Macaca fascicularis: one gene and its partner. The protein of the gene in region 2 interacts with the protein of the main gene of each other region in a pairwise test. Links are inferred from orthologs where the notes say so. Each region holds a gene or a part of one and is shown on either strand. Other genes may lie near its edges.

Region 1 (4,559 bases), on a different chromosome or scaffold from region 2:
GTTGTGGCATGAAAGGTTGGAGTGGGAAAGAGCAGGGTTATGGGAGGAGTAAGCCCTGGGGGCGGGCGGGGGGCTGGGCATCGTGGGAGTCTGATCCTTCTGACATAAACACAAGGCATGCAGGAACTGAAAAAGGCACAGACTATATTGTTTAACCTTCCATCTGCGGAACCCACATCCCTGCACCCCAGCTGTAGTCTGCTCTAGAGGCTGGCCCTGGTGTGGGGCTGCTGGTCCCGATCTTCAAGACAGAGCCTAGCAGTGCCTGGGTGGAGGCTTGTGGGAGCTGAGGCCACACTCAGTCTGTCCTCTTGAGCACGTGGATGAAGTAGCAGGGAACATAGGCTTGGCCTGGCTTGTAAGGCTTGAAGTCGCCCAGGACGCTGTGTTGGCACTTGCCCCCGAAGGCTGCTTGGAGCAACTCCGTGAAGGATGCCAGACAGTGTGGGTAGTAGGAGAGCCGGAACTTACTGTAACAGAGCCCCCAGCAACCATGAGGACTGGTGACCTCAGCTTCCCCAACTACTGCCTCACCCCCACTGAGCCAAGTGGTACCTCAAGCCAGGAGAGCCATCCTGGCCAGCCCCCGGCACCTGCACTGTATAGTCCAGGGTCACCATGTGAGCCTTGTTGTTCACTATCAGCACTGATGTTGTGATGTCCTTGGTCAAGTCACTCTGTAGGTGGTGGGGCAGGCTGCGTTAGCCTCTGTAACCTACCTTGGGGCCACTGGACCCTCCCTCCACCCCACCCCCACCCCCAATCCCAGAGGGCCCCACCTTATAGTAGATATTCTTCCCTGGGGGTGCACAGCCTGTGCTGAGGATGTGGTCGTAGTTGCGGTGATCAATGACCAGCAGGCCCCCTGCTCGCACCATGCTTGCAATGTTTTTCAGCGCCAGCCGGTGCTCACTCTGGTCCCCTGAGCGCCAGGCAGGGGCAGAAAGGCTCCATCTGCTCAGGGCCCCCAGCACCAGTCTCCCTCCCATCTCTCCCCTCCCCAGGGGTACCAGAGCCAAATCAGAGAGAGGCAGAGAGTCTGCTTTGCAGAGCAGGTGCCCAGAGGTCTGTGGAAGGGGGTACAGCTCAAGGCGGGGGCCATGCCCAAGGCCACACCCTCTCTCACCTTTGCAGTCTGGCAAGTGAGCGAAACTGTTTCCAAGGCAGATGACAGCATCAAAGCCACCCTCTGCTGACTGGGGCACATCTTTGTCCAGAGTCATCCAGTTGGCTTCTTCAATGACTGGGGGCCAGGAAGGGAAAGAGGAATCAGGGAGGCACCATGGTACCAGTAGCAGCCACCTCCACCAAGTGCAGTCCTGCCTGGGATTCTTCTTAAGACACAAAAACTCCCCGTTCGGTTAGGGGGAGGAACCCTGGTTCAGAAGGAGGGCTCTGTGCTTATGGGCTTTTCTTTGAGGGGAGGGACAAGATGCCATAAACACAGTTAAAACCAGCTCTTCACACCCAGTGTCTCATTCTGGAGCTTAAGCCTTGCTTTTCAGAGAAATTACAGTAATTTTGCTGTCTCCCCGAGGAAATTTTGCTGTCTCCCCGAGGAAAACACAACACCCCACCCCCACCCCCACTTAAAGGAGCCCCAGGCAGAATGAACAGTGTTCCTGGTGACTGGGCTGGGGGGGCCTGGCTAGACCTGCATACCCCACTTGTCGAAGGCGGGCTCGTGCCGCCGGTTCCAGCGCTCCTTAAGCGCATACTTCAGCATCTTGTCACTGGCATCCACACTTGTCACGCTGAAGCCCTCTTCCACCAGCATAATGGAGTCCACCCTGGGCAGGGCCAGTGGAGAGAGACAGAGAGGGGCAGTCAGGGGAGCCTGGGAGGGCCAGGAGACCCTGTGCCGGACACTTTTGTCTCCACTTCTCAGAGTCCATTCCTCTGCCTCCTCTCCCCAGGCCCTCTCCACTGACCTCACAAATCTATTTCCTATCACCACGAGGCAACTTTTTTTTTTTTTTTTTAAGGCGCCTCTTCAGAGCTAGGCACTCTACAAATATGCAGTAATTCTCATGGCAATCCTGAGAGGTAAATAGTGTTATTCCCATTTGAGAGACAGACAAGCTGAGGCTCCTCTAAGTTAAAATAGGTGTGCACAAGAGGCAGCAGAACATGGTGGTTTAGAGCACAGGACAGACCTTAACCAACCCGGGCCTGTTAGCTCCTCTTCACTGGATGTTGTATGAGGGACTTTTACTTTGCTGAGCCCTTACTTCCCCAGTAGTAAATGAGAGAGTATCACTGCTTAACCTCATGGGGCTTTGTGAGGGTTTGAAAAACTGATGTATCAAAAGCTCCTGGCACTGGCTTGACAGATGCAAATGTTGAGCAATGTTAACTGTTAACACTGCCCAAGGCCGTCACAGGAGGAATATTTGGAGTCTGTCCGTGGCCCTGGCTCCACAGCCTTAAGGACGCTCACTTTTCTGCCCACACCCTCACTCACACTCAGTCTCCCTTCTCAGTGGCCTCTCCCTGAGCACCCCTGCCCCAACCCTTGGCCTCAGGGGGCACTCGCAGTGCCTGTTCTGCCGGGCAGGTACCTGCTCCTGGCCCTGGTGTCCCACCCATTCCAGACTGGCAAAGGCCGCCCCGACGTGCCGGTCCTGTGGTTCTGCGGCCGCGAGGTACAGGCTGAGCCGGACACCGATCTCATGCAACGCCCCCGGCCCCCTCCTGGGCTTACCCGGTGCCACAAGCCACGTCGAGCACCCGCTGGCAGCCGTGCTGTCGCAGCAGCCCGAGCAGCCATGCCTTGTACTCGGCGGTGCGGCTGCGGGTGTTCCCAATGTACAGCTGCCACACGCGCGCCGCCTCCCCGTCCGCGTACTGGTCCGGGAGCCCTTCGGCTGCCACCCCCAGGGAGCGGGTCCGGTACACGCTGTCCACCATCCTGCGCCGCGCCTGACTTCGCAGTCACTCGCTCCGCACTTATAGCACAGGCACTTCAGGCAGCCGACCGCCCCACCCGGCCAATGGCAGGTAAGCGCGCGGACACGCCCCTGCTGGGCTTTGCGCCGGACGCCTGAGGCTGTACAGCTGCGGGGAGGGCGCTGCCTTGCAATCCTGGGCTAGGTCCTTTTAGCCAGCCTGCGGACCCAGCCCTCTGTGCAATCCCACGGCAGGAGAGGACCCTCGGAATCCTCTGCCCACTTAACCTGGGTCTCCAGGAGAAGGCGAGAGGGGCCAGGAGAGGAGGGAGCAATGAGATTGCCACTTCATCCCCCCCTCCCAAGTTGGAAAGAGAGGAAGTAAAACCTCAGATCCACAGAGCTGAGCGCCAGGCGGGCAGGACTGGACCGTTCCCAGCGAAGGAAGGCATCAGCAGATCTAAACAAAGAATGTGCAGCCAAAGTGTGTGGGGCTAGCCAGCCGATGCAGGGAAGACAGGGGGAGTCTCTGGAGGTAAAGCTGGTCTGTCCACCCAAGCCCGGGGCGGAGCCGGGGCTGGAAGAATGCTCCCCGCCCACCTGGAGGCCAATGTGCCTCTGTTTTGTAGGTGACCATCAGGCTTTTCCCTGAGCTTCCTAAGGTGTAAGTTGGGCCTTGCTTCCAATTTCTGGATCACTGAGAACCCTTCTAAAGACCCTCTGCTGGCCGGGCGCGGTGGCTCACCCCTGTAATCCCAGCGCTTTGGGAGGCCAAGGTGGGTGGATCACCTGAGGTCAGCAGTTCGAGACCGTCCTGGCTAACACGATGAAACCCCGTCTCTGCTAAAAATACAAAAAAATTAGCCGGGCCATGGTGGCACGCGCCTGTAGTCCCAGCTACTCAGGAGGCTGAGCCAGGAGAATCGCTTGAACCCGGGAAGGCAGAGGTTGCAGTGAGCCGAGGGCACCACTGCACTCCAGCCTGGTGACAGAGCAAGACTCCCTCTCAAAAAAAAAAAAAAAAAAAAAAAAAAAGGCCGGATGCGGTGGCTCAAGCCTGTAATCCCAGCACTTTGGGAGGCCGAGACGGGCGGATCACAAGGTCAGGAGATCGAGACCATCCTGGCGAACACAGTGAAACCCCGTCTCTACTAAAAAAATACAAAAAACTAGCCGGACGAGGTGGCGGGCGCCTGTAGTCCCAGCTACTTGGGAGGCTGAGGCAGGAGAATGGCGTAAACCCGGGAGGCGGAGCTTGCAGTGAGCTGAGATCCAGGCACAGCACTCCAGCCTGGGCGACAGAGCAAGACTCCGTCTCAACAACAACAACAACAAAAAACCCTCTGCTTTCACATGAGGCAGGAAAATAGCGTCTGGAGGCAGGGAACATAAGGCCAATTCACACTTCAGTTATAATGGGAAATATCCTCTCCATAGGTGTACACCCACCATTAATAACTTTATAATTGTAACTTTACTTCATCCTCTTCATTTACATAGGGCATACCCCAAGAGGAGGATTTTTTTTTTTTTTTGTGAGACGGAGTCTTGCTCTGTAGCCCGGGCTGGAGTGCAGTGGCCCGATCTCAGCTCACTGCAAGCTCCGCCTCCCGGGTTTAGGCCATTCTCCTGCCTCAGCCTCCGGAGTAGCTGGGACTACAGGCGCCCGCC
Region 2 (4,409 bases):
CCTCACCATCCTGGTTAGGGATCTCCTGTCATCAAAAAGATTCTAGTCTGCTCCTTTCCAGATCTCTGAGCCCTGCAGAAACAACAGGTGGCTTCCTCTTCTTCCCCTGTGGAGGGTGAAGCCCAGAGGCCAAGACTGGGAGGAGGGTTCTGGGCCTTCCTCCATATTCTCTAGCTCCTAACATTGCCCAGAGGTGGGCCACCCTGCCTACCCATCAGCCTTCCCCTGCCCCTCTGCCAAATCTGGACATAATTATAGTAATGATACTGCATATAAACAGTATAGGTAACTGCTTCTGAGCATGATTACAGGAGATGTTTACACACTCACAACAGCATCAGAGTAAATGATAGCTTCCTCCCTTAATACTTAGACCTTTCAGGGATAGTTAGCCAAATCTCAGCAGTGAGGGTGTGGGAAAGACCTTACAATTTCCCACTACCTGCAAAGCAGGAAGGCACCTCAGACAAAGCAGCGTCCCAGCCAAGATTTCACAGGACATCAAGAAGCCTGCAGAGAAGTGGGCTAACATCTACTGGGCACCTACTGTATGCAGGCACTTGGGGAGGCCAGCAAACAAGCAAGTTCTTTCAACCTATTAATTCTGCAGGCTGATATTAGTGTATCCTCACTTTACAGGTCCGGACATGCGTTCTCAGAAGCTTGGTGTACAGGGTCACCCGCAGCAGGCCATGGAGCTAGGCATGGGCACTTTCCACGGTGCTACCCGGTCACATCAGCGGGCCAGCTCTGCCCTCTTCCTTTATCGCCTCTTCTCACTTCTCGCAGCTTCCCTTTCCTGGGCGGCTTCCTGCAGCCCTTGCTGGTCGCGGGTCTCCGCTCAGTTCCCCAGTGTCAAGGCCGTCTACTGCCCCCTCCACCCCTTCTTCCTGTCTCTGTTGGGTGACTGGGTGTTATCTCTCCAGTAGAAGGGGGTGGGGTGGGGTGGAATGGGGAAGGGTGGAGCACAGGGCGAAGGCCTTGCCAGGCATCCCGGGGTCTCCAGCTAGGCGAGCGGCCGCAGAGAGCGCGGCCTCGGGGTCGCCAGACCCTCGGCTTCCAACCACACGCACACACAAAGGCTGCCCCGGCATGCGCGGGAGAGCGCGCTCGCACCCACGGCCGTGCGCACACACGCACAACTGCACAAAGACGTGCACACTCCTCCATCCACACCAATACACTCCCAATAGGGCCAGCACACAGCCGTGCGCCCTCACGTACACCACACCACCACCACCATACAAACACACACACACTCACTCATACGGACTCGCACGCGGGTGGACCCCTCCCCCACCACAAACGCCGACCTTGGGGCCTTGACGCGTCCTGCAGCGCTGCCCCGGCTCGCTGGGCGGCGCGCGCACACGCAGACGCACGAGCGCGCGCACACACACACACACCCCGCGCGGTTCCACGCCCCTGACCGCGGCCCGGGCGCTGCGCTGCTCCGCGCGGCGGGAGGCGGGCGGGGACCGGGGGCGGGGGCGGGGGCGGGGGCGGGGGCGGTGGCGGCGGCGGCCGGGAGAGCGGAGAAGGCGGAGCAGGGAGCCGGGAGCGGGCTGGCCCGCGCTCCTCCTGCTGGCCGGGGATTTTCCAGCCTGGGTGCTGACGCCGCGGACCTCCCTGCGGCCGTCGCGGACCATGGGCGACAAAGGGACCCGGTGAGTGCAGGGCGGTCGCCCGGCGTGGGGCGTGTGGGGGCGACCTCGGCGAGGGCACGGGCGGGGGCTCCGATTGCGTCCTGGTTCTGTGTTCGCGGCCATCCCGGGATCTAGTACCAGCCCTCCTCCACCCGAGGTCTCCTGCGTGGTCTCCCCGGCAGGGCCGTGGGCGAGGGGGACCCAAAGGGCGAGGGCCGGGCCGCCCCATGTGGGCCGCGGCTCCTGGCCCGGACACACTCACAGCTTGCTGATACCCAGCATTGGCCGGCAGCCGCAGAAACGCGCGGGGGCAGGTTGACACACAATACACGCACGGGCACACTAACCCGTGGCACAGGCATGCTGGCGCACACACTGGCAGCCACTGGCACACGCTCATCACACACAGTGGCACGCCGTCATACACGCCTCGGTCAACACATTCTTGCTTACAGCCTTGTTGGCATGAACGGCTCACACTCCAACACACACCAATTCTAACACACCCTCGTGCTAGCACACACGTGTGGGCATACACTGATACGCAAACTGTCACCTGCACTCGCTGTAGCAAACACTCTTGCTGGTACACACATCACCCTCACTAGCACACACACTTGTGCTGGCATGTCTCACCAACACAGTGGAGCGCAAGGCCACACCAACACTGACCCCCACAGACACAATCAGACTAATGCTTGCAAAGACTGGCACCCCGCAGGCACGAGCTGCTAGCCGGAGGCCCGCTGACACACACGTTCCAGGCCCCACATGGCCAGAAGTGGAAACACACATCACACGGGGTAGAACGCTCCCCACTGCCCCCAGCCTGGGGAAAACAGATCCCATCCCATCCGAATAGATCGCATCCATCTACTCTGTTCCCTTTCCCTCTGACCTCCTGAGGAGTGGCTGGCCAGGGGCTGTTTTGAACCTAGGGCTGGGAGAACCCCTCCCGTTCTAGAACCTGGCCTGAAATACTCAGAAAGAAACGGTCTATGCCTCTGAAAGGGGAAAGTGGGACAGAAGGAGGAGGGGGCTGGAGCAGGACAGCCCCTGGGGGCAGCCCTTCAGACAGGACCAGCCCTTCAGACAGGACCAGCCCTGGTCAAGGGCTCAGCATTGCCACCCTATTTTCCCCGTTGCCCTCCCCACCCAAGTGGGCACAGCAGCCTCTTCCTGGGCTCCCCCTCTTTCTCATTGTTTTCTGTCTTTCTCCTCTCCTATTCTTGTGCCTGACTTCTGCCTCCTCCCTTTCCTCCCCTCTCCTCTCCTCGGTTCCATTTATTATTAAGCTCTTGCTGTATACTAGGCATAGTGTGGGTAATCAAAGATGCGCAAGGCCCACTCCTCTGAAGGAGCTAACAGACTAGAGAGACACACCCCAGTGGGCACCACCTTTCAGGGCCACTGACAAAGCCATTTCTCACGTACTGCCATCTGAGACTCTCTCTCAACAGTGTGAGAAAGGGCTTCCAGAGATTATTTCTATTTTCTAGAGGAGGAAACTGAGGCTCAGAGGCAACTTAGGCTCTTAATGTTTAGAAATTACTTTCCAGCCATCCTCCTGACAGCTCTTCCAGGGGGTTAATTTTCCTCTTCCTGTTTTCTAGCAGAGGAACCAGAGAGCTGGAGAGGTCATGTGATTTGCCTAAGGTCAAAAGAGGCCAGAGGCAGGGCAGAGGCTGGAGTCCACTTGGTCATGTCTCTGTGGATGGCCCTAGGGCACTACCAGGCCCCACATGGGCCAGGGAGGGGTGCCCTGCTCTGTGCTGGAGGCCCAGGCTTTGGGGGAGACAGCAGAAGATCATGCTGTGTCTGCATGCATCTTGATGGCTAGTCCCCATTGCAGCTGGCTGGCCAGCACTGTGACCTAGGCCTCTGTCCTCAGTAGGAAGGTATGTGACTCCCTCCCCAGCCACATCCATCTTGACCCATGAGGTCAGGCTTTTCTTCCTGCAGGGTATAGCAGGGAGTTGGAGCCATTCTCCACTCCTCCTGTCCTTCCTAGGCTGCCTTGTGATTGGGGTAACTCAGCCTCTCTTGGGTCTCTCTGTACCTCTCTGTGACTTGGGGGATAAGTGTCATTGCTGTCCTGCTGACATGATTGTCAGGAAGATGTGGACACCATGGGCTTCCAGGCACCTGTTGGAGACCCTGTCTCTGAGGCCAAGATATTTTCCATGACTCCCCCTGCCCTGCCTTGAACTCACTGCTGGACCGTTGGGACATTGGGCAATTGCCTTTACTTTTCCGGACCTTAGTTTCCCATCTGTAAACTGGAGCTATCAATACTTAACATTTTAAGGCTTCCCTTGTACTTACTGACTTCACTGGGCAGGGGAAGAGGCACTGCCTGAAGCCTGGAGCCAAGGCCCAGCTAAATCCACCTGATAGTGGCCCTGACCTCCCCCTCAGACTCTCCTGCAGCCCCATGAGGGCTTTCTGTCCCTTTCCAGACAGTTTGCTAAGTAATTTGGAAAAGAAGGGCAAAATCGGTAATGGGCTGTACCTTGTCTTTTTCCGTAAGCCATGAGATTCTACTTTATCTATGACTTAGAGGAGGAATCTGAAGATATCTAAAACTGAACATCAGGAATCATTGCATCCATCCCTCCATCTGGAATTGCACCCCCATATGAAAGTGACAATGAAAATTTATCAGAAACTGTCACTGCCTTCTAGGAATTCCCAGGTTCAAGGGGGAAAGTGGTGTTAAATACCTGGACAGGGCTGTGCGTGGTGGCTCACGCCTGCAATCCT

What was found.
Region 1: the proteins of ARRB1 (region 2) and GNMT interact in binary tests that used the Homo sapiens proteins (3 or more experiments, as listed by UniProt). The link is inferred for Macaca fascicularis from reciprocal best matches to the Homo sapiens genes ARRB1 and GNMT.

The regions. Positions count from the first base shown.
Region 1 is NC_088378.1:128,572,880-128,577,438, forward strand, and holds GNMT (glycine N-methyltransferase), read right to left. Parts: upstream 2,925-4,559; 5' UTR 2,911-2,924; coding exon 2,705-2,910; intron 1,791-2,704; coding exon 1,663-1,790; intron 1,244-1,662; coding exon 1,127-1,243; intron 923-1,126; coding exon 780-922; intron 678-779; coding exon 556-677; intron 473-555; exon of another isoform or gene 471-472; coding exon 299-470; 3' UTR 128-298; downstream 1-127. UniProt on the Homo sapiens protein: Catalyzes the methylation of glycine by using S-adenosylmethionine (AdoMet) to form N-methylglycine (sarcosine) with the concomitant production of S-adenosylhomocysteine (AdoHcy), a reaction regulated by the binding of 5-methyltetrahydrofolate.
Region 2 is NC_088388.1:74,216,892-74,221,300, reverse strand, and holds the start of ARRB1 (beta-arrestin-1), read left to right. Parts: upstream 1-1,534; 5' UTR 1,535-1,647; coding exon 1,648-1,667; intron 1,668-4,409. UniProt on the Homo sapiens protein: Functions in regulating agonist-mediated G-protein coupled receptor (GPCR) signaling by mediating both receptor desensitization and resensitization processes.